7 linked regions of the Mus musculus genome follow. The protein of the gene in region 1 binds, or shares a complex with, the protein of each later gene. Links are inferred from orthologs where the notes say so. Each region holds a gene or a part of one and is shown in the gene's direction. Other genes may lie near its edges.

Region 1 (3,500 bases):
AGGCTGCAGAGCCACAGATCATTACAGGTACGATCTGCTGCTCCCCCTGAGCCGTACCAGAGGCACGGCCGGCCATTCTGCAGCCGCCGCAAGCACCTCCACCTCCGACCGACTCGCGTTCTAGTTTCTCTTTGGATTTTAATCATGGGCATTTGAAATTTAGGATTGCAAGGTGTTTTCTAGGGTTTTTTGTTTGTTTGTTTATATTTTTATCTTGTGTTTTTTATGTATCATTACATAAAAAGGTTAGGCATTGTAACCTATCATTCTAGTATGAATCTTACTTGAATGACATTGGATCTTAACTGTGACTGGAAAGTCATTCTTTCAGTTGGTTTGTTTTGCTAACTACAGATTTTAAAATAAAAAGATTCATTTTTTCCCCTTCCCTGCCATTGGAGTTTAAAATTACATATTTGTTTTTATTTGCTCTTTATACTTAGCCACTCTCTACCGCCTCTGGCAAAAAGTTAAAAAGAACTAAATATAGAATAACTACAGTTTTAGGATTTTGAGGAAATGATTCACAGTGATAGGACTTTCATTTAGTGTACACACACACACACACACACATACACACACACACAGACAAGTACATTGTGTTTAATGGGTTTTAACTTGTGGATTCTGTCCGGTCTCTGTCTTTTCACTACAGGAAGTCACGATACCACAATACGATTATGGGATCTAGTGGCTGGAAAGACACGAGTGACACTGACGAACCATAAGAAATCAGTGAGGGCTGTGGTCTTACATCCGCTACTGTAAGTGTGCTGTGCTGATAGCTTGCCTTTCTCCGCGTCTCAGTGACGCTGAGGCCAGGGGGGCCTGCTGTACCTCTGCCTGTGCTGCTTAGGACGGCCTTTCAGTTCCCATCTGCTGCTGTTGCCTCGTGCTCTGTGGAATGAAGGCCATAGCCCCTCTACAGAGTGACAAATAAGGCCAAGTTGTGGTTAAAGCTGAATGTCAGAGTAGGCGGGAGTCGTGTCTGGACATACAGGGTACTGGACCCACTTTGACCTGTCCAGATTGTTTCACATATGGTGTCCTGTCAGAGACAGAGCAGAGTTAGATTCCTAAGGGAGAAGTAAGTGTGCAGGAAATGGAGGGAGAGACATCAGCACTGCGGTTCCCAGAGAAGGCAGGCCACTCCTGACTCAGCTCATCCCACACACATCCCCCAACCCTCCCCCACTGCTCCCTGCGCCTTCCCTTTCTTGTCCCCTTCCCTTCCTTTCCTTCCTTTTCTCTTGTCATCCCTCTCTTTCCTTCCCTTTCAAGATTTTTTTTGCCCTGTGTGTGTGCACATTTGTTGGGCTAATTAGTGTGTAACACACTAAAGAAAACAAAACACTGCTCTGGGATCTAAAGTAGTACATCTCAGCAGCTGGACAAGGCTGGTGGAACTTGGAGCGAGGATAGTGATGAGTTTGTACTGTGGTGAAGTTACATTTTACTGAGGCTGTCTGGAGCAGTGAGCACACAGAGCTTTTTCAAAGCTGCGAGTTTTCTTTGATACAGTGTACTTTCCCATTAATTCCTGTCAATCTTTGTTCTAGTTACACATTTGCGTCTGGTTCTCCAGATAACATAAAGCAGTGGAAATTCCCCGATGGAGGCTTCATTCAAAATCTCTCTGGTCACAATGCAATCATTAACACGCTGGCGGTCAATGCTGATGGAGTGCTTGTGTCTGGAGGTAACACAAGGTTTCTATGGTGTGTTGAGTGTGCCCTTCTGTTGATGTGAGTGAGTTAGTATCTAAAGCATCACACTGTTGTAGTGACACACCTACTAGGGTGTATGTGCCTGTTTGTAATGTGCCTGCCGTCGTGCTCAGTGGTGTTCCATGCAGCATGTTGCATAGTTTAGACATCTTTGCATTCCCATGTGATGAAGGTAGGGATTTACGCTAGGAACTGCCTGATGTTTGGTTGGATTTTAAATGTTATGGTGTCTATAAATTAGAGACTTAGAGGGAATTAGAGAGAGAGGGAGGGAGGGAGGGAAAGAGATAGTGTGTGTGTGTGAGTGTGTGTGTGTGTGTGTGTGTGTGTGTGTGTGTGTGTGTGTGTTGCTGGTGTAATGTTCAGCTCCTGGGTCATCTGAGCTGTTGAGGGGATAGAAGTAGAGCTGTGTGTTTCCCTTGCAGCTGACAATGGCACCATGCACCTTTGGGACTGGAGAACTGGCTATAATTTTCAGCGCGTCCATGCAGCTGTACAGCCTGGGTCTTTGGACAGTGAGTCAGGAATATTTGCTTGTGCTTTCGATCGGTCAGAAAGTCGGTTACTAACGGCTGAAGCTGATAAAACCATTAAAGTTTACAGAGAGGATGAGACTGCGGTAAGTTCTTAGTGTCCATCTCTGTCTGTCTGTCTGTCTTCCTATCTTCCTTCCTTTTTAGTTTAATTTAATTTTATATTTTATATTTAGAGACAAGGTATCACATGGTACCTCTGGCTGGCCTGGAACTCACTTTGTAGCTCAAGTTGATTTTAAACTTGAAACTGTCTTCCTGCCTCTGCTTCTCCGATGCTGGGATTTTGGGCATGAGCCAGCACACCCAGCTTTCACATGCATTTTAAAGTAAAAGAATTGCATGTCAATTTGACAAGGACTGCTCATTTGAGTACAAAAAGAAACAGACTCACTATAGTACCATCAGTTTCATCCTCTGGATAGTGATCTGACCTGCTCAGGGCTTCTGTGTGGTTTCATTGATGCAGACACATCAGTGATAAAGCATTACGTTTTAAGTACAGTTCTGCCTCAGTACAGTTCCTGGGAAGGAAATGATACATTAATCGTGGCAAACAGGAGACTGCTGAGGGAAGGAGGGTAGAGGTAGAGCGCTGGGGTTGCTGTAATAGCTAAATGGAAATCCAACCGAACCCATGTATCCCTGGTCAAACTTGGATAATGCCAGAAGTTTGTCAGCTGTTTCTAAAATTTTTCAAGAGCCACTCAGCACGTCCTGCCAAGCAAGTACTATGATTTAGCAGAGACAGATCTTTTCATTGAAAGGAAACAAACTAATAAAATCACACTTTGTTTACTGTTCTGATTTTAGACAGAAGAAACTCACCCAGTCAGCTGGAAACCAGAAATTATCAAGAGAAAGCGATTTTAGTGTCTTCATGGCTGTCCTGTTCGTGCTTGGTGTTGATGAGGATATCCGGTCTTTCATGAAAGCTCACTTGCAGAAAACATTGCTGCTTTGTATTTTACAATAAACTGCTCCCATGTCCCTCACCTGTGTTTTATTTCTGAAATAAACAGTTTATAGTTTTAGAAGTAAACGGTAAATATAAAGAATTCAGGCATGTTGAGGATTGTTGTTCCTAACACTATTTTGACTGGGTTTTTTTTGTTTGTTTGTTTGTTTTAGTTTTGGTTTTTATTTTACATGTATAGGTGTGTTTTGCCTGCATGTACATTTGTGTACAACATGTGTGTCTGGTGCCGATGAAGGCCAGAAGAAGTTGTCAGATCCCTGA
Region 2 (4,052 bases), on another chromosome or scaffold:
CTAATGTCCCCTACTGCTTTCCGGATCGCAACTCAGAACTGAGCTTGACCCCACCCCCACCCCCCAAGGAAGTTTCTACTCTGAAGGGCAAATGCCAGGGACCTATTTTTCATTCTAACAGAAAACAGAGTTGGGGCTGGCTAACAGGCCCACGTCCAGGAAAAATAGAATCTGTGATCCTCCAGCTAGGAAATTTTCATCACACTTGCCCGTTGGTAATAATGGCATTAATCTGAGGGCAATAAGCAACGAAGAAATGAGGGTGCAAATGTAGTTTAGTCACGTACATCAAACCTTCACTTCCATCTCCAGCCCCACCCATGCCCAGGTGTGCTGTAATCCCAGTTCTTTGGAGCCTGGGGCTTGGAGACAAGATGGAAGCAAAGTCTACTCTTTTGTAGCCAGGATCTGCTTTGGACCATCCCTGGAAAATTTTGAGGGGAGTCTGCAAAGTATTTGTTCTGGAATCTCAAAGGCTCCAGGTCCCCAGGTCTTTGATGTTCTGACTAGTCAGACGCTTGGCCATCTTGAGCTGAGATGTAAGAAGTCTGCCTAGCCTGCTTCTTATAAAACCTAAAGGGCACAGAGTTCTCACGGAGCAACCTTGGTTCTCAAGCATCCAAACTAAGACTAAAACTCTTGCTCTTGGTTGATGTTGGGCATGGATTGATCACTGGAACTTAAACCCCAGAGGTGGGGGCCAGGGAAAGGTGAAGTACACAAACCATTCTGCTGTGATTCAGGTCCCTGGTACCAAACATAGTACATGACCCCTGACCCTTGCCCTAAAAACCCTTACTGCCTCCATCCTCCACCTCCACCACAGCACGGCAAAGCTGGGCCCCTCCCTGACGCTCCTTGTGACCCTAAGATTGTGTTTGGGGTTTGATGGATGTTCTGTTTTGTTACCAGGGTCTTGCCATGTAGCTCTGGATTGCCTTGTAGACTAAACCGTCCTTAAACTCCGTGTTCTGGGATTAAACTACTATCATGTCTAGATGGCCTGAAGATCCGTCTGCCCGGCTGTCAATCCATCCACCATTCTCTCTCTCCTTTTCTCCTCTTTCCCTCCCCTCTCCCTTCCTCTCTCCTTCGACGCATCCCCGCTGCGGCGGCTGCGCAGTGGAGGGTTAAAGCCTCCAGCTCTAGAAATCCGGAGGGAAGCCCAGGAGGCGCCCAGTAACCACGCCCAATCCCGTCCTGGTCCCGCTCACTCCGTTTCCTGGGGCGGGGCTAGAGAGACTTCCGCCCTGAACCAGGAAGCGGTGCAGGGAGTGTGGTAAGGGGGCGTGCCTGCCTTCAGTTCCGAAAAGCCACAGCGTCTCGCCCGGGTTGAATTTTGGTTTTCAGATCCGGCTCAGACAGGATCCTGAGACCCCTGGCCACCCCCACAGCTCATCCCCAGCTGCAGACGCGGATCTCAGGACAAGACTGGGTTTGCTGCCGCTCTGTCGCCGCCGGGACAGGTCAGGATCCAGGCCTTGTGGCCTCTACCGGAGCTCCCAACTCCGCCGCCCCAGCCATGGCACAGAAACCCAAGATAGACCCCCACGTCGGGCGGCTAGGCTACTTGCAGGCGCTGGTCACAGAGTTCCAGGAAACCGAGAGCCAAGGTAAGAGGTGTAGCGTGGGCACGAGGGACCCAGGAGGGTTCTGACGGCAGCCGCCGCCGCACAGGTCCGACCCCAGGGCTGCTTCCCATTGCAGATGCCAAGGAGCAAGTCCTCGCCAACCTCGCCAACTTCGCTTATGACCCGGGCAACTACCAGTACCTACGGCAACTACAAGTCCTGGACTTATTCCTTGATTCTCTGTCGGAAGAGAATGAAACCCTAATCAAGTTTGCTATTGGTAAGAGTTAGGCTGCCCCCAACCCCCGTGCCCGCGCGCCTCCCCCCAAGTTATAGACTAGAGCGACTTGAGAGTCAGGCATGCCACTCGCCTATAAAACTAGCATTACGGGAGGCTGAAGCAGGAGGATGGTTGCGACTTGGGGGCCAGCCTGGGATTCAGAGTAAGACACTGTCACTAAACAAACTAGTGTTTGGGATGGGATCTCATCTAGGGCAGAGCTGCCGTGTGTGGACCACCTACCTTCTCCTCCTCCACACATTATCGGGGTCACAGCTCATTCCAAACAAGTCGTGTCTTTCTTCCTCTTAGAAAAGAGATAATAAGTGAGGAAATGGGGTGAAACCTCTTTGAAAGAAGTTTAGTTTTTTGTTTGTTTGTTTGCTTGATTTTGATTTTTTTGAGACAGGATTTCTCTGTGTAGCCCTGGCTATTCTGGAACTCACTCTGTAGACCAGGCTGGCCTTGAACTCAGAAATCTGCCTGCCTCTCTGCCTCCCAAATGCTGGGATTAAAGGTGTGCGCCACCACTGCCCGGCTGGAGCTTGCCCTTGTATTGTTTACTGTCAAGAGGTGCAAAGGTAGCTTAGAACTCCTATAGTTGGGTTATTGTAAGGCCGTTTGAATTATTCAAGGTAGACTCTTTTACATTTGCTGTGTAGGTGTGTGTTTGCATGTGTGTGTGGATGAGTGTGAGTATGCATGTGCACCAGGCTGTATGCATGAAATTTGTCAAGAGTCAGTTCTCCCCGAGTACAGTGGTACATGCCTTTCATCCCCAGTACTGGGAAGACAGAGGTAGGTAGATCTTTCCGAGTTCCAGGCCAGCCTAGCGTGAGTACTGAGTTCTGGACCATCTAGGGCTATGTGGTAAGATGTCGTCTCTAAAAACTAAGGTAGTCGTTGTTGTTGTGTTCTCCTCTTCCAGTTGCTAAGGGAAGATCTCTGTGCCTTCAGAGTAGGGCAGTGCACTCCATAGCTGGGCCGTGAGCCTCCAGCTAATGGGGAGAGAGTGCTGGGGTTCCAGATGCTCGACACTGCATCTGGTTTTCTTATGTAGGTCCCTGGAACCGAATTCAGGTCATCAGAATTGTGTGGCAAGCTCTTTTACCTACTAAGCCATCTCCTCTGCCCCATGATAGATAGTCATTATTGGGCACCCTATAAGGAAGGTACTGGCCCAGGTTCTGAGGAGATGGTGAACAGGTTGGGGATTGTATTCTGGAAGGGGAGCTAGGTGGCGAATAAAACAAGCAAAGTAGAGATAAACAGGAACTCAGATGGAGCCATAGGAGGTGTGTCACGCTACTTACGCTACTTCCATTTCAGCCATCTTGGATATGCGATGTAGACAAAGCAGCTAAGCAGGAAGCTGTTAGAGGGAAGCTGATGTGTTAGAGGGAAGCTGATGTGTTAGAGGGAGGCCGATGTGTTAGAGGGAAGCTGATGTGTTAGAGGGGAAGCTGATGTGTTAGAGGGAGGCCGATGTGTTAGAGGGAGGCCGATGTGTTAGAGGGAAGCCGATGTGTTAGAGGGAAGCTGATGTGTTAGAGGGGAAGCTGATGTGTTAGAGGGAGGCCGATGTGTTAGAGGGAGGCCGATGTGTTAGAGGGAAGCTGATGTGTTAGAGGGGAAGCTGATGTGTTAGAGGGAGGCCGATGTGTTAGAGGGGAAGCTGATGTGTTAGAGGGAAGCTGATGTGTTAGAGGGAGGCTGATGTGTTAGAGGGAGGCCGATGTGTTAGAGGGGAAGCTGATGTGTTAGAGGGGAAGCTGATGTGTTAGAGGGAGGCCGATGTGTTAGAGGGAGGCCGATGTGTTAGAGGGAGGCCGATGTGTTAGAGGGGAGGCTGATGTGTTAGAGGGGAAGCTGATGTGTTAGAGGGAGGCTGATGTGTTAGAGGGAGGCTGATGTGTTAGAGGGGAAGCTGAAGTGTTAGAGGGAGGCCGATGTGTTAGAGGGAGGCCGATGTGTTAGAGGGGAAGCTGATGTGTTAGAGGGAAGCTGATGTGTTAGAGGGGAAGCTGATGTGTTAGAGGGAAGCTGATGTGTTAGAGGGAGGCCGATGTGTTAGAGGGGAAGCTGATGTGTTAGAGGGAAGCTGATGTGTTAGAGGGGAAGCTGATGTGTTAGAGGGAAGCTGATGTGTTAGAGGGAGGCTGATGTGTTAGAGGGAGGCCGATGTGTTAGGGATATTTTAA
Region 3 (3,500 bases), on another chromosome or scaffold:
GCTTAGCTGATCTTCCAGGGGTCCTGAGTTCAATTCCCAACAACCACATGGTTGCATGCAAACATCCATGTGATATGATGCCCTCTTCTGGCATCTAGGTGTACCTGCAGATAGAGTACTTGTATACATTAAATAAATCTTTAATGCTTTTAGCTTAATACCAATTTGGTATGGGGTAAGAACGCACAGTGGCTAATCTGGCCAATCTTCTTCCTAAAAGTTAGCTACATGGGCAGCATCAATGAAAGTACCTGGAATTCTTGACAAGTCTTGGTTATATTAAGCATTTAAAAAGAAAATATAAACCTGAATCCAAAGCCATTTTTCCTGTGTAAAATTCTACTTACATTTTGGCAAGCTTCTAAATGCTAGTATTACCATCTATCCACATGCAATCTAATTGTTAAGTGAAAGTCTTTATTCCTGGTTATAGATCAGGATGGCTGAACTACAGGGGCATGTGGCTTTCTTAATGCTAAGATTGATTCATTATTTTTCTTAGGTACTTTGGAAATCATATATTGATTTTGAGATTGAGCAGGAAGAAACTGAAAGAACACGAAACCTTTACCGACAATTGCTTCAGCGAACACAGCATGTCAAGGTATCCTTACTTTTTAAATAGTCTCTCATTTTGTTTGTACAGCAGTTTTGATGTTTGTAGACAAACTATTTTAAATGACTTTGTTCTTAGAGTCTGTTGTTCCCAGAGGACTTACAAATACTAAGCTTAGACCTGCCAGATCATTGTTTATGTTGCCATGCATCTCTTGGGCATCACAGAGTTAAAGAAGTTTTTTCTATAACTTTAAAACTATGTTGGGGCTGGAGAGATGGCTCAGTGGTTAAGAGCACTGACTGCTCTTCCAACGGTCCTGAGTTCAATTCCCAGGAACCACATGGTGGTTCACAGCCATCTGTAATGAGATCTGATGCCCTCTTCTGGTGTGTCTGAAGACAGCTTATAGTGTGCTCATATGCATAAAATAAATAAGTAAATCTTAAAAAAAAAAAAAAAACTACATCTAACATCTAAAAGCAGAAGACTGCTTCTCCACTGACACTGAGGCGTATGCTCAATGTATCAATCTGTGATTCATTATCAGTAGATACATCATGATCTGGAGAAACTAACTTTATGTTCTCTGTTTGTTTCTTCTGGGTGACTGACATGGTTAATTTTGTTCTGTTTTTTTTTTTTTTTTTGGTAAGGTATGGATCAGTTTTGCTCAGTTTGAGTTATCGTCTGGGAAAGAAGGAAGTGTGGCTAAATGCAGACAGATTTATGAAGAAGCTAACAAAACCATGAGAAACTGTGAAGAAAAAGAAGAGAGGCTTATGTTGCTGGAATCCTGGAGAAGTTTTGAAGATGAATTTGGCACAGTATCAGACAAGGAGAGAGTAGACAAACTCATGCCAGAAAAGGTCAAGAAGAGAAGAAAGGTCCAGGCCGACGATGGGGTAAGGGCCCAGTACCGGGGTTGTTCCCCCCATGTCAAAGGAGTAGAAATGCATCTGACTTTGCAATCTGTGCTTTGGAGTACTATTGGAATTTTTCAAAGCAGATGCAGGCAACCTGGATAAGGAGCCCCTTGTAGTCCAGCTACTAGGACAGGGCAGGGGCAGAGCCTTCTGAGTGAAGGTGGAGTCTAGGAACTATATGAAGCTGCTGTTTGTTGAATGGGGGTGGGGTGGGGGAGCTTCACCTTATAGAGGGAAACCAATCCTGAGGCTTTGTAGGGTAGAGCAAGTTTGGTGGGAATCATTGAAGACCTTTACACATGTCTAGAATGCTAGCATCTCATAAGGGTGGACTTGAGAGACTTGGCTTGAAGATGATCTAGTGCATGTTTTTAAAAGCCTGGACCTGAGGGGTGGAAAGTAGGAGATGAGGAAAGCCTCCATTTTAAGATAATATTTAGAAATAATAGCCATGCTCAGTTGGAACTGAGAAGAGCTAGGAGTCCAAATACTACACACTATGTGGCCTCTGCTACTAAATATTAAGTAAAAACTCAAATTAAAAAAAATTATTTTGAATGCTTTGCATGCATGGGTATATGTGTACCACATGCATTCCTGGTGTCCTTGGAGATCAGAAAGTGATATTGGACCCCTTAGAAGTGAAGCTACTGGGTGGTTGGGAGCCACCATGCAGGTGCCAGAAACCTAACCTGAGTCCTCTGTAAGAGCAACAGGTGCTCTCAGCGCTGAGCCACCCCTCTAGCCCCTCAAACACACGTTTTTACATTGTAAATGTACGACTGCAAGGTTTGTGGAGGCACTGAGTGTCTTAGGCAGTGGAGGCACTGCCCGTGGAGCCGCTGTGCTTAGATGTTTAGCTTCCTCCCACTTGGTCCTTCATTCTCATTGAGCCAGTGTAGTGCTGCAGTAACCTCATCTGCCCGGTGGCTCAGTCACTCCTTTAGGCTCAGCCCTTTGTTCCATCTACGGCAGGATCTGATGTTACTTTCCACAGCACCATGGTTGAATTGAGACTCTAGGTTCCCCAGACACAGTCTTCATTCTTCTGCCTTCTGAATGAAGCAGGCTCCAGCTTCTGTCTGCTCACCTTTGACCTCATGTACTTATTTCTGCAGTCTGACGCCGGGTGGGAAGAATACTATGACTACATCTTCCCAGAGGATGCTGCCAACCAGCCTAACCTCAAGCTCCTGGCCATGGCCAAGCTGTGGAAGAAACAGCAACAGGAAAGAGAAGCTGCCGAACAGGATCCAGATAAGGACATTGATGAGAGTGAATCCTCATCTTTTTAAATGTTATAATTGCTTTTTATAAATGAACAGTTTAGAACTTTGACTCCTAAATGTTTTTATGTATTTACTCAGTAAGGAGTTGTTTGGCATCTTTGAATTATTTTTTAAAATGCTCTTGGGTTTAACTATGGGTGAGAAACTGCAAGTAAAAGAATTTTTTTCTAAGTTTTGTTACTTGAGTCCGAGCATTTCTAGCATTTGCTCCTATTGTCTTTGTTAGATGGAGTTCATGTGCTTAGCACATACGTTGGGTCGAACTGCAGACTAAACTCAGTGTTCAAGGTCCATTCTCCAGGAATAGACACAGGTTTATCATGATGGTGTTCATGAATCTGAAACTTTTAGATTTCATGTCTCTAAAACCACAAAACTGGAGTCCAACTCTAACACCTCCATGTGGTGGCTGTACGTTTCCATTGATTTTCAGTTTTCTCAAACAAGCAGTAGTATGGTGGCACCTCATTTTGATGATTCCATTAGAAAAGGAGTATGCTGATGTCAATCTTGTTCCAACAGCACACCTTCCCCTGCCCCTACTGCCTTTTAGCATCATGTGTCTACTTCTCATAGAATTAAATGGACTTGGGCTAGTTTTCTCTCTGAATATCTGAACAGATTTATAGTGACTGTATTTTTTGACCCCAAGTCTTTGTCAGGAACATTTTAGTTTGGCTTCAGTTTTTCTCTCAAACTAGTTAAGTTTTGTAGTAGCTTGTTTAGAAA
Region 4 (2,505 bases), about 20 Mb from region 1:
GGTTTGTTTGTTTCCTCCCTCCCACAATGAATAAATTTTATGAAATTTGTAATTAAAAACAATTAAGATAAAGTTAATTCCTAGAATTAGCTGTAGTTGTGTTTGTGAGCACTAAAGAGTATAAAGATACTCTATTGTACTATTGTTCTGTTGATTTTTGTTGTAAATAACTTTTTACAGGAAACATATTCAAGATTTGAACTGGCAGCGAAAGAACATGCAGCTTACAGCTGGATCTAAGCTGAGAGAAATGGAGTCAAAGTGAGTGTGTGACTCCGTGTTTCATGTGTGCATGGACTGCCGTGGGAGTCACAGAAGGGCCATTCACATGTCTGCTGTGTGCTGAGGAAGGGGAGGCATACAGAGTAACTGACCGCAGAAAGGGCTGACTTACTGCTCAGTGCTGGCATCACAGCCCCAGCTCCAGGACGGCAATCTTGTAGACTTTGCCTAATTTGTGCCTTAGTTTGTTTGCCCCTGTTAATGCATAGCCTTCTGCACACACAGATTTATAGAAATCCCTAACTGTATGGGCTGTGTGTGCCCATAAATGCCTTAGTCCTCACATGTTGGAACTAAGGAAGAAAGATTGTGACTTTAAGTCTAGCCTTGGCTACAGAGTAACACCGTCTCTTTAAAGAAAAAGGTTAAATGCATAGTGTGGTGATGCTTGCTTACGGATTTCTGTCTTCCCGGTCTCTCCGTTGCCCACAGCATCTTCTCACCATGCTCTCCATCTTGAGATGCCATGCCGGCTCCTTTCACAGCTCTCTCCACGCTAGTGCTCTTTACATTTGTCCTGGAGATTTAGTTACAGGAAATAGTGGCTAAGGCTATGGGGTTTGGTGGTAGTGGTAGTTTGTTTTGTCAATTCCAGAATTTTGTCCATCGTGTAAACCTCTGCCTGTGTTCTTTTAATCTTATGCTGTTTTCCTGTCTCTTCTGTCTCCCTGAGTCTCTTGTTTCTGCTTATTTCTTAAGGTAACTATCATGAGACGATTGTTGGGTAACTTAAGTAATGCAGAGAGCCCCTGTGTACCCTTCCCCTGCTTTCCCATAACGTTGTTTTTTAATGGAAAGTTAAAAATGTTAGTGCCCATAGTGAAACTACATATGTTTAAAATAAACTGTGCAAGAAATTTTACATCCGCTCATTTTTCCCTCTTCTCTCTTTTTCCTTTGACTCTCTTTCCTAGCTGGGTGTCGCTGGTGAGTAAGAACTATGAGATTGAGCGGACGATTGTCCAGCTGGAGAACGAGATCTATCAGATCAAGCAGCAGCACGGGGAGGCCAACAAGGAAAACATCCGCCAAGACTTCTAATGACTCAGGCGACGTGGGCTCCGCAGACTCAGCGGGGACTTTCTCGGAGCGACTGTGGTGGTTACATGGTTAGAGACCATGGACTATGTAAACTGTTGTATTGCTTCTGTGTGAGTGTCTTAGCAAAATAAAGTTGTCAACATGTTGCTGTTTTTATGCTATAAAAACCTGGTTTTCAGAATGAGTATGACTTTAGAATAATTTTGACATATTTTGTAGCAGAATTTTTTTTTTAAGGCTTCAAATTTTGTAATGAAGCTCCTTTATTTTTAAGGCATCCAACATGTTCTGGAAGCTGGAAACCTTGAATTTGTGTTTTTTGTTGAATAAAGTTACAGTTCTAAGCATTTTTATGTGTGGCTATAGTGAACTTTATTGATGGTATTCAAAAGAATGAGGCTCCCTTCTAGGGATCTATGATAGAAATAGGTGTAGTGAGAATTGTGGAATTTTGGATTCTTTTTTAAAAATGCAGAAATATAAGAATATGTTTTGGGCTGGTGAGATGGCTCAGCGGGTAAGAGCACCCGACTGCTCTTCCGAAGGTCCGGAGTTCAAATCCCAGCAACCACATAGTGGCTCACAACCACCCGTAATGAGATCTGATTCCCTCTTCTGGAGTGTCTGAAGACAGCTACAGTGTACTTACATATAATAAATAAATAAATCTTAAAAAAAAAAAGAATATGTTTTCATTTTAATCCCAGGTGTGGGTATATGGGGCTGCTTTGAAGCAACTGATGTGCCTCGTGCTCTAGTAGAGGCATGGTTTGCCAGCTGCAGGTAGTTTCTGCAATTGGGTGACATTTGGGATAATGGAAACTTTTCACAGGGATATAAAGTCTAAGGCCCCAAGAGGCAGTGTTGGTTGTGGTTTGTGAGTAGTCGTGTTCAAAGAAGAAGCAAGAAGAAAAATTAGATTCAAGTCTCTCGCACGCTCTTTCTCACTCACCTTTCCTTCTTTCCTAACTAGTGATAGCGGTGAAGGCCAGAAGGATAAAAGGTGGGAGAAAGAAGAACCCACAAAGTAGCAAAAGCCAGCTGTAGTGGGAGATGCTCAGTGTTGGGGGCTGGGCTGAGTTGGGACAGGGACTCCAGCAGCAGAGGCCTCTGTCTTCCTCTCTGCCCTGCTGGGACGGCTGGGCTGGTTCGGGCCTTCTTACTCCTTGGAGGCCATGAAGG
Region 5 (3,500 bases), on another chromosome or scaffold:
TTTTCAACTTCTCTGATCATGTATCAGCTAATTTACAGCCTCATTTTCTGGTTGTAACTTGTAAATTGGAGTTTCATATGTTTTAATCTTATAAGCTCAAAACTTTCTCTTACTTGCCTTGGGGATACACAGTCTCTAGACTTAAAATATGGGCACAAGGTATGCTCTGTGGAGGAGGGTACATTCACACACTGGGTAGGGCTACTCTGTCCCTTTGTTATTTAGCATTGAGAACATGTATCTGGTCCCCCTAACCTGCCTTTCCTTTAACCTCCTCGTATCTGGTGGGTAAACAGTTTGCCCTGGAAAGGGAGCAAGATTCCTTAATGGCTCTCTCGTTTCTGTTTCCCACAGGCCAAGATGCCCTTCGATGCCAACAAGCTGTACTGTAGTGAAGTGCTGGCCATCCTCCTCCAGGACAATGACGGTGAGTGCCCTCACAGAGACAGGCCAGGCTGGGAGCCACACTCAGTCTCAGATCCGGTGAACTTGCCTTTGGCATCGCCTGGGCTCTCTGCTTGCTCTCCGTGCAGCTTTTGTACTCTGTCAAGCTGTATTGATTTTGTTAGCTGACGGATCAGTGGTAGACGGCTGTAAAATCTGACAGTTGGCTTCTTTTTTTTTTTCTCCCTTTATTTTCCTTCTTTTAGAAAACAGGGAATTGCTGGGAGAGCTGGATGGCATTGACGTGCTTCTTCAGCAGTTATCCGTGAGTACCTGTTCCTGTGGGCCTGCTCTCAGTGGGAGGTAGAAGTAGAAATATGGGAAGGGGCAGCCACATGGGGACCAAGGGCAGGTTGGAGGTCACACTGGAGCACAGGGCTTACCTTTTTTTCTTACTCACTGGCCCTTTCTGATCGAGTGTCATGGTGAAACTGGCACAGCCCTTCCCAACTGCTGATCCAAAAGTAGGGAGAAGTAGGGAGCTCTCCTCTGTCCCCAGCCAGGATGAGCCAGTTGTGTTCCTTTCTAGCACCCAGCACGGTTCAGCTCCTTCCCCTTTGGTCCTTCCCTAGAAGAGTCTGTCTGCTCACTGAGGTTCCAGGGGAGCGCAAGGAGAGCAGTTTCCAGCTCCATGGCACGAGGGTCGTGGTGGTCGGGACAGTAGGGATGGTTGTGGCACTGCAGGCGGGAGTGGGAAGGTGGAACGTGCCTTTTGCTGGTTGAAAGCAATGTAAATCCAGTTGAAATGTTACCTGCTGGCAGTCTGGAAGTGCCATCAGGGTTCCTCCTCAAAAACCTTATCTGTGTTACTCCAAAACAGCACTGAAAATAGATCATTTGGATACAGGCTGAAGAGTGTTGAGTGTCTGAGACGGCAGTTTGCATACAGCTTTCCTGCCGTGCCAGCCGCTGAGTGACTTGGCCTCCACCCTAAAAATAGAGCTTTGTGGTGGGAAGCTGTTTGCGGTTCCCATGAAGTGCTGTGCAGTCACTGATTGCAGCCCCTATGGGGCCACCTGCCCAGCTGGCTCAGGGGCTCTCCCAACCCGTGCTCAGCGCTGACATGCACAGCTGCCCAGATGCATGCCTGGGCCTCGGAGCCCCTGCTATTGAGTGAGGGGAATGCAGCAGCCGCGCTGTGAAGAAGCACCTCTTCACCTAAGATAGGATCGGCTACTCTGGGTTGTGGGTACCGTAGAAAGGGGGTGAAGTGGGGCTGGACGGAGCAGGGACAAGGCTGTAGGGCTTTCTGCCAGAGTTGGTTTTGGAGCTGAGCTGTGGTTTCAGACGTGTTCCCTCTCAGTTTCACTGTGTGTGTCCAGTATGGCCTTGTCTCTTTCTGATTTTCACAGAGGCCAAGGCCTGAGGTGTGCTGTTTTGTTTGGCTGACTTGCTGCCTTGACGCTGTCAGTCAATCTCGGCCCAGTGCTTGGCTCAGTGTTTTTATGTGAACTTGTATATCTTTATTTAGTGCCCACACCTAGAAAGCTCAGTTTCTCTAAGCTGGAAACTGGCGAGAGCTTCATTAGTAGAGTTCACTTTCCTTGGTGGGCTTTGGAAACTGTAGGGTGCGCATTTTTTAATGGCTCCGTTCTACTCTCCTTGGCAGGTATTTAAAAGACACAACCCCAGCACCGCTGAGGAGCAGGAAATGATGGAGAACCTGTTCGATGCGCTCTGTTCCTGCTTAATGCTCAGCTCCAATCGAGAGCGCTTCCTGAAGGGCGAGGGGCTGCAGCTCATGAACCTCATGCTCAGGTTTGCCCCAGTCCTCACTGTGCCTGTCTGTCTGCCCGGCACTGCTAGCCTGACTTTAGGATGCGTAGCTGTGGTCCTTCAGTCCCTTGAGTTTCCCATTCATCCAGACAGTGTTCATTTAGGGATGTGTCTGAGCTTTCCTGAAGGGTGGGCTGGCACATAAAGCTGTGCCTCGTTTGTGTGCCGGGTGTCAGTTGGTGACGCAGCCACTGCCCTGAGGATCATGTCCTTGTTTCTTTTATTGTGTTGGTTTTGGAGAAAGCTAAGCATTACCTTTTGGGCTTGTTCGTCTCAAAATCTGTATGCTCCATAGATCTCTCTGTCTATATTCCTGCCGTTGACAGCAAAATATTCATATTTATTCATTCAGTAATGAATTCTGTGTGTGCCGTGTGCCTAAGCACAGGGAATATGAAATATGAAAGATGCTTCTACAACTGTGGGCTTATACTTCCTTTAATGTATCTTTTTTGTTCTGCTCTACTCTCTAAAGACAACACTGCTTCAGCTTCTCAGTTAGTCCAAAGAATCTTAAAGTTGGAAATAAAGTGGAGAAGTGGCTTGTTTGGGTGTTTTATTGAGAAATGTGGCTGGGAAGGAAAAGAGAGTTCCTGAGGAGGTGACCAGAATGGAGTACCACTAAGGGACAGCATTTGAAATTGAGAGGCTCTGGGTGCTGCTTGCAAACACATTAGGAATTTTCTAATCATGGAATTCGTGGAGTTGAGCCGGGGTCAAACATCGTAAAACCTCTAGTCACATGCAGTGACAACTGAACAAAGATGTCTCTGAAAGTGCCTTACAAATTGGACGTATACTTATTAAGCATAATTTAGACTGTGGGTGTTCATTCTGTTTTCTTTTTTTTTTTTTTTTTTTTTTTTTTTTTTTTTTTTTTAAAGATTTATTTATTTATTATATGTAAGTACACTATGTAGTTGTCTTCAGACACTCCAGAAGAGGGAGTCAGATCTCGTGATCGGATGGTTGTGAGCCACCATGTGGTTGCTGGGATTTGAACTCCTGACCTTCGGAAGAGCAGTCGGGTGCTCTTACCCACTGAGCCATCTCACCAGCCCCCTCATTCTGTTTTCTATTAGGATATTTTTAGTTACTGTGTTTGTTAAGTGTCTTGCCAACAAGGCCGAGTCCTCCCAGAAGCTAAAATGCCCCAGTCTGTCACCCAAGAGTAGCCCACCTTTGGGCAGATAGAGTCTTCTTGGTTTTATTGTCAGTACTACTATTATTATATCATCATTTATTATTATTTTGGTGGGAGTTACTTGTTTGTTTGATTT
Region 6 (3,500 bases), on another chromosome or scaffold:
TTCAAATAAAAGTGAAAGGTTGCCACTTTATCTTAAGCTCAGGCAGTTACCCCAGCCTTGTCCTGTAGGGAGCCATACACTGGCCATCGTTCTGTAATATAAGTGCTACATTGTCATCCAAGTACAAGATGTAATAAAATTTCTATTTTACATCTTCATCTAGAGCATTCATAATTTAAATGGGCTTTTTTTCTTCTGCAAGTGTGGCAGAAAGCAGCATTGATTCCTGGTCCATTTTGGTGTCTTGATTTGTGCTTAGATTGCAGTAATTTTAACCCCATTGCTCTTGCCTGTTATTGTAAATAGCAATTCAGTGAGAGGGCAGCTGATACCTTAGAATGATTAGGAACATAGTGTTGACCTCACAGGCCGTCTGACAGGTTTTAGGCTCCCCTAGGGAATCATAGACTTTTTCTGAAACTCTGTTTTAAGTCTGATGAAATCTAGTTGCCAGTGCCTACCGAATTTTGGGAAGTTGATTTTTAAAGGAGCGAGAAAAGAGGCTGCTGTAACCTATCAGACAGTTCATTTGACCTTCATCTTTAGTAAAATGTTCCCCTGGAACTGGCATAAAAAATGACCCCAGCAGGAAGTGAGCACAGCTTTGGTAATTAGCACCTCTGAGTGACCCAGGTGTACTGGTGGCTTGGGTTTGCCAGCATTTGGGAAAACAGCAGGAGTGCCTGCCTTCCTACTTTTGAATACTAAATAGTTCCTTCTTTTCAAAGTCTGTGCTCATTGCATAATCAGCTAGACACTGGAGTGTTTCTTGGAGTTGCATTTGCAAGAAATGGTTTTAAGATTTGTCAGATAAGGGCTAAGTATAAATAGCAGCTCTGTAGTCTTAATAAATGATTGTTCCTGCAGCATGATATTCTCCGCTAACATTAAGTATATGACTTCCTGATTTACACTGCTCTGCAAAATATAAAGAAATTAGAAGTTTCTAAAAGTGAGTTAAAACTTTGTACTAAAACTTGAGTGATTATAATAAATGAGAAAATGCCATGCTGGTGGGCACTGACAGCAACACTGCAAGATAGAATTGTGGCCGACTTTGGCATTACACTTTTGATGTGGTTGATGCTCTTTGTCATCTTTCATGGGCCTTCATTTAGATCTAAATAAACACTTTATTTAGGAAATAATAAAGATGGCTTTACCAGTTTTATGATGTTTAAACTTGTTTTAGTTTTACATATGAAAAGACTTTTGATTGACTGTAATATACAATTTAAAAGTTCTGTTTAAATTTATAATTTTCATTCTACTTATTTTAAGTGAACACAGATACTGGTTCCCCTCCCGTATCGCTCTGTCCACTCTTAACTCTGCATTCTGCTGGCTTTAGCTTTCATCATAGACTGCCCTCTTTCTGAAGATAGCATTTAAACTTTGAAATGCTAGCTGTGAGCTCCAGTTTTTTCCTGGTGCTCTTACCCACTCAGAAACATCATGTGCCTCTTCTGTCCTCTTGCGTTCCCTTGTTTCCATGAGCACGTTTCACCTAGCAAAGAATGACACAACTTGTTAACATCAGATCATTCTAATTGTTTCCTTGCCATAGCCTGAGGCTTGTGTGATTATGGTTGCTAGTAGGTAAACAGTTAAAATTAGATTCACTCCTCAGGATGGGGTACATGTATCTAGTTCATTAATTATTGTTTCTTCTTATATTGACTTTGATTTGTAGAAATCCTTGACGAAGGAGACAGTGATTCAAACACAGACCAAGGAGCTGGAAGTAGTGAAGATGAGGAGGAGGAAGACGAGGAGGAGGAAGGAGAAGACGAGGAAGGAGGTAAAGTATGGCTTTGTAAACACTCTGGGATGAGGTGAGTTCTGAGGCACCACTCTAGAGTGGCTCTCTCTGCTCACCGAGGAAGGATTGTGAAGGATGCCCTGGGGTGTTGTGGGAGAAGACAAGGGACACTTTTCAGCACCTTCTCTGACAGAACACTGCACACCAGCAGGACACCAGTCCCTAAAGTATTAAACAAGGACGTTCAGTTTTTCCTAACAACATAATTTTAATGTGACATTTTAGACCTTCAGTTCTAAGGGTACATTCATGTAGAGGCTGTGTGATTTATGTAACCTTGGCAAGTGTGTGACAGATGTGAATGACTAGATACTTGCTGTTCATTTTGGCAAAATAAAGCAGGGAGGCCAACAACTACATCTGTACAGAAACAGATTCACGTTCTTCCTCTTCGGCTCTGATTACATCACTCCACAGAACAACAAGCTCAGCCTTTACTTTGGTTGAGTATCATAAAATAGTAGCAACATAAGCCAGGATACACACACACATACATACATATGTGTGTGTGTATAATATTTTTATATATCTATATAGTATGTTTTACAGTTAAATTGTTGCTCTTTAACTTTTTTGTTTTTTAAGATTTTGTTTATTTTATGTATATGAATACACTGTAGCTGTCTTCAGACACACCAGAAGAGGGCATCACATCCCATTACAGATGGTTGTGAATCACCATGTAGTTTCTGGGAATTGAACTCAGGACCTCTGGAAGATCAGTTAGTGCTCTTAACCACTGAGCCATCTCTCAAGCCCCCGTTCTGTGACATTTTATGAAAACAAAAACAACAAAAAATAGATTGTATTTCTCCATTTTTTCCTTTGAAGCCTGTCATCTTTAATAAGTCACCTAAATTTCTATATATTACATTTCCCTTTAGAATTTCTTGTTTAAAATACTAATAATTAAGTATAAAAAAAGTTTCCTCATATCAATTAACAGATTTTGACACATATACACATTGGACAGAGCCAACCTGGCAGAACCCATTGTTCTGTTAAACTGAATTTCAGCCCATCCAGGTCATCTACTTAATCAACATTGTTTATGAATCTAGAAATAATATCCTATGAAGCATCAGCATCAGAAAACCCCTTCTATGGTGTCTAAATGAGTTTGCAATAGAGAGGCAAACATAAAATAAAACAATAAAATGATAAATACTCATGTAAATATAAGTTTTGTAATTTTATTCTAAACCAAGGCTTAGGACTCCTGGGGTTCTTTGTTCTGTGTCCTAGTAGATTGCATCCTGTGTTGATGGCATAATTATTACAAACATAATTATTTTGGTGGTGTTGTGGACTCTGATCCAACAAAATGATAAGGCAGAAGATGTACAGTGACTCCATTAATCCTACAGATACCGTTTTACAAACAACATTGTAATTATTGAATTTGATTATAGAATAAACTTGTATTTTTATAATTGTTATGTTTAATTTATTTCAGGGCAAAAAGTAACTATTCATGACAAAACAGAAATCAACCTAGTCTCGTTTCGCCGTACAATCTATCTTGCCATTCAGTCAAGGTAAGAGTCCGTAGCTCAGTGGATAAGAGATGGGTAAGCAAGATCAGTGATCGCACTAAGAGTCTGAATACAGACTTAAACATCGTTTCAGCATTTGCACAGTGCTTGCTTCACCCTGTCCTGTACCCAAGCTCAGAGGC
Region 7 (2,678 bases), on another chromosome or scaffold:
CCTGCAAACCAAAAGAAACGACAGTGAAACAGTAAACAATTAAAGGGTTAAAATGAAGCCTGACAAGGTGACTAAGCCTCTGATAGATCACTTCAAAGTCTGAAGCAGGTGCAGAGAATTTGAGTCCCTGTCTCAATAAATAAATAATAAGAGACAGGTATAGTATGGCTGGATGGCATATCCACAGGTATTGCCGTATAGTCTCTATATTTTAGGAATAAGATGTGTATTATGTTGTCTAAGTCTTGGTGTTGGTTGGTTTTATTTTTTTTTGAGACAGAGTTTCTCCTTGTAGCCCTGGCTGTCCTGAAACTAGCTCTGTAGACCAGGCTGCCCCTGAACTCAGAGATCTGCCTGCCTCTGCCTCCCAAGTGGTGGAATTAAAGGTGTGTGCCACCACCACCTGGCATGATGCTTATTATGACAAAATTTAAACAGAAGAATTAATATTGGATGGAGCGGAACTCACCTCTAATCCCAGCATTCAGGAGGCAAAGGCAGGAGGATTGCTGTGAGCTCAGGGCCAGATCCTCCCCCCACCAAGTAAACAAAAGTACCCCCAAACTCCTGTATTTTCAAATTGTCTGTCATTGTCCATTCTCTTTGGCTGTGACTGCTCTTACCCCATTCCTAAAATGGTTTTTTGAGAGTACAATCTACATCAGGCTATACATGTATCCTTAAGGGATACCATAAAAGAAGTACAATTATCTTTTCTGAGTTGTTTGTAACGTGAGAAAGTGCACAACCCCCAACGTAAGGCAGTAATCAGCAGAAAAACACAGGTGACTAGAAAGAGAGGTGTTCTTTCTATCTATCTATCTATCTATCTATCTATCTATCTATCTATCTATCTATCTATCTATCTATCTATCTATCTATCTATCTAGTCTTGAACCACATCTGACTTCAAGGAATAGCTTTTGAGTGACCTAGAGCAAACAACCCCTCAATGGGTTGAGAAACGGGAGCCTGGAGCTCGTTGTGGGAGCCATTAGTGAGACTACTGGGGCTGACACTGATCACCAAAAATACTTTTCCCAGTGCCCAAATTCTAAGAGACAAAGCTGGGACCGCGGGGGAACCATGCTGCCACGTTAGCTTCTAGGTACAAGAGTTAATTTTCCTGGTTGCTTGTAGTTGAAACCCTCTTGGATTTCCCCTTCTTAGTAGCCCAGAGCCGTGGGATAACTCTCAGAGGCCGTTTGCCATCGTCCTACAGCAGCCAGGCAAAAACAAAACAAACAAAACAAAACCCTAAAACAAACTCTTTGGACTACTTGTTCCAGAATGCAACGCTCAGACTAGAACGTGATCACCCGAGAGCCACTAAGCGGACCATCATGCAACACTCTTCGAAGTAGGCGGGCTCCGTGAGGAGACGGCCCAGTGTTTCCTAGGCAACTCCAATCCCGCGACAGACGGCACTTCCGCTTCCGCCTAGGAAAAGACTGTCTACTCCTGCGTCTCGGTGGCGTCTTTCTCCCGCGCCTGCACGAACTGAGGTTTTGCGTGGCGGCGGCGGCACCGGCAGCGGCAGCGTCTCTCACTTGAACGCCGCGAGCGGCAGCTTCTCGTCTGTGTCCTGACCTCGGAGCCTACGAGCAGAGCGGCGCGATGACGGACCGGTACACCATCCACAGCCAGCTGGAGCATCTGCAGTCCAAGTACATCGGCACGGGCCACGCCGACACCACCAAGTGGGAATGGCTGGTGAACCAGCACCGCGACTCCTACTGCTCCTACATGGGCCACTTCGACCTCCTCAACTACTTCGCCATTGCCGAGAACGAGAGCAAAGCCCGCGTGCGGTTCAACCTGATGGAGAAAATGCTGCAGCCCAGCGGGCCGCCCGCGGACAAGCCCGAGGAGAACTGAGGTGAGCGCTGCCCAGTCTTCCCCGTGTGCCGGCTGCGAGCCTCCTTGCTCCTGCATCTCGACCATTCCGTGTTGGCTGTGTCGCCTGACCTGCGTACCTGTGGAGGATTCGGAACAAGTCATGGAGAGACTGTCCGGGTCCGCTCCTTGTGAACTGTGCAGAAGGAGTGATCCCAGCATCGGCAAGCGAGGGAGAAGACTGCACGAGAGTGATGCGCATTTCGAGTCTGCTTTTCGATAGTTGATGTCTTCTTGCCTTTTTAAAAAACCATATATATATAAAGTTTAGGGTTTGCTCTATTCTTTGGTATGGATTGCTGTGTTCTTTGGGAGGTTATTAGGAGAGGGTTCTGTGGATCAAGGTTTTGTGAGAGTATAAATAGGAAATGGGGGCAGAAGCACAGGGCAAGTCCTTAAGTCGTCACACACACTTTTATGATATTATCCCACCTCAATAGTCTTCACGCGTACAGTGTGTCTGGTCCCAAAGAAACCTTGAAGCGCGGAGATTGCCCATATCCCTTTCCTACCCTTCCCTTTATGCGCTACCCCTTACCCCTTTTTCTTGATGATTACCCTTTGTGTCTTCAGAAATGATAAACTGGCAAACAAGTGGTATCACGTCCCCATCCTGCTCAGCGCCCCATTCCCCCCACCCCTCTTCCCTTTTCACCAGAGCATTTTCCAAAGGTTTGAGGGCATACATTATGCCAGCTTGAAGAGTTTACAACTTTAAAAACCATGCTTACAATGCTACTTTACTGAGATGTCATTTGAGAACAGATTTTAAGGAATCAAGA

The links.
Region 2: Plrg1 (region 1) and Armc7 share a complex: the UniProt entries of both Homo sapiens proteins name them as parts of the minor spliceosome. The link is inferred for Mus musculus from reciprocal best matches to the Homo sapiens genes PLRG1 and ARMC7.
Region 3: Plrg1 (region 1) and Crnkl1 share a complex: the UniProt entries of both Homo sapiens proteins name them as parts of the minor spliceosome. The link is inferred for Mus musculus from reciprocal best matches to the Homo sapiens genes PLRG1 and CRNKL1.
Region 4: Plrg1 (region 1) and Bcas2 share a complex: the UniProt entries of both Homo sapiens proteins name them as parts of the PRP19-CDC5L splicing complex. The link is inferred for Mus musculus from reciprocal best matches to the Homo sapiens genes PLRG1 and BCAS2.
Region 5: Plrg1 (region 1) and Ctnnbl1 share a complex: the UniProt entries of both Homo sapiens proteins name them as parts of the PRP19-CDC5L splicing complex. The link is inferred for Mus musculus from reciprocal best matches to the Homo sapiens genes PLRG1 and CTNNBL1.
Region 6: Plrg1 (region 1) and Cwc22 share a complex: the UniProt entries of both Homo sapiens proteins name them as parts of the minor spliceosome. The link is inferred for Mus musculus from reciprocal best matches to the Homo sapiens genes PLRG1 and CWC22.
Region 7: Plrg1 (region 1) and Sf3b5 share a complex: the UniProt entries of both Homo sapiens proteins name them as parts of the minor spliceosome. The link is inferred for Mus musculus from reciprocal best matches to the Homo sapiens genes PLRG1 and SF3B5.

Annotation. Positions count from the first base shown.
Region 1 is NC_000069.6:83,069,038-83,072,537, forward strand, and holds the end of Plrg1 (pleiotropic regulator 1), read left to right. Parts: coding exon 1-27; intron 28-655; coding exon 656-764; intron 765-1,559; coding exon 1,560-1,699; intron 1,700-2,152; coding exon 2,153-2,346; intron 2,347-3,073; coding exon 3,074-3,133; 3' UTR 3,134-3,254; downstream 3,255-3,500. UniProt on the Homo sapiens protein: Involved in pre-mRNA splicing as component of the spliceosome. Component of the PRP19-CDC5L complex that forms an integral part of the spliceosome and is required for activating pre-mRNA splicing.
Region 2 is NC_000077.6:115,474,415-115,478,466, forward strand, and holds the start of Armc7 (armadillo repeat-containing protein 7), read left to right. Parts: upstream 1-1,252; 5' UTR 1,253-1,522; coding exon 1,523-1,613; intron 1,614-1,707; coding exon 1,708-1,851; intron 1,852-4,052. UniProt on the Homo sapiens protein: As a component of the minor spliceosome, involved in the splicing of U12-type introns in pre-mRNAs.
Region 3 is NC_000068.7:145,917,701-145,921,200, reverse strand, and holds part of Crnkl1 (crooked neck-like protein 1), read left to right. Parts: intron 1-502; coding exon 503-604; intron 605-1,212; coding exon 1,213-1,461; intron 1,462-2,600; coding exon 2,601-2,777; 3' UTR 2,778-3,500. UniProt on the Homo sapiens protein: Involved in pre-mRNA splicing process. As a component of the minor spliceosome, involved in the splicing of U12-type introns in pre-mRNAs.
Region 4 is NC_000069.6:103,177,159-103,179,663, forward strand, and holds the end of Bcas2 (pre-mRNA-splicing factor SPF27), read left to right. Parts: intron 1-180; coding exon 181-261; intron 262-1,196; coding exon 1,197-1,323; 3' UTR 1,324-2,005; downstream 2,006-2,505. UniProt on the Homo sapiens protein: Required for pre-mRNA splicing as component of the activated spliceosome. Component of the PRP19-CDC5L complex that forms an integral part of the spliceosome and is required for activating pre-mRNA splicing.
Region 5 is NC_000068.7:157,817,401-157,820,900, forward strand, and holds part of Ctnnbl1 (beta-catenin-like protein 1), read left to right. Parts: intron 1-354; coding exon 355-427; intron 428-650; coding exon 651-709; intron 710-2,053; coding exon 2,054-2,202; intron 2,203-3,500. UniProt on the Homo sapiens protein: Component of the PRP19-CDC5L complex that forms an integral part of the spliceosome and is required for activating pre-mRNA splicing.
Region 6 is NC_000068.7:77,915,357-77,918,856, reverse strand, and holds part of Cwc22 (pre-mRNA-splicing factor CWC22 homolog), read left to right. Parts: intron 1-1,693; coding exon 1,694-1,801; intron 1,802-3,278; coding exon 3,279-3,360; intron 3,361-3,500. UniProt on the Homo sapiens protein: Required for pre-mRNA splicing as component of the spliceosome. As a component of the minor spliceosome, involved in the splicing of U12-type introns in pre-mRNAs. Promotes exon-junction complex (EJC) assembly.
Region 7 is NC_000076.6:13,007,006-13,009,683, forward strand, and holds Sf3b5 (splicing factor 3B subunit 5), read left to right. Parts: upstream 1-1,444; 5' UTR 1,445-1,617; coding exon 1,618-1,878; 3' UTR 1,879-2,178; downstream 2,179-2,678. UniProt on the Homo sapiens protein: Component of the 17S U2 SnRNP complex of the spliceosome, a large ribonucleoprotein complex that removes introns from transcribed pre-mRNAs.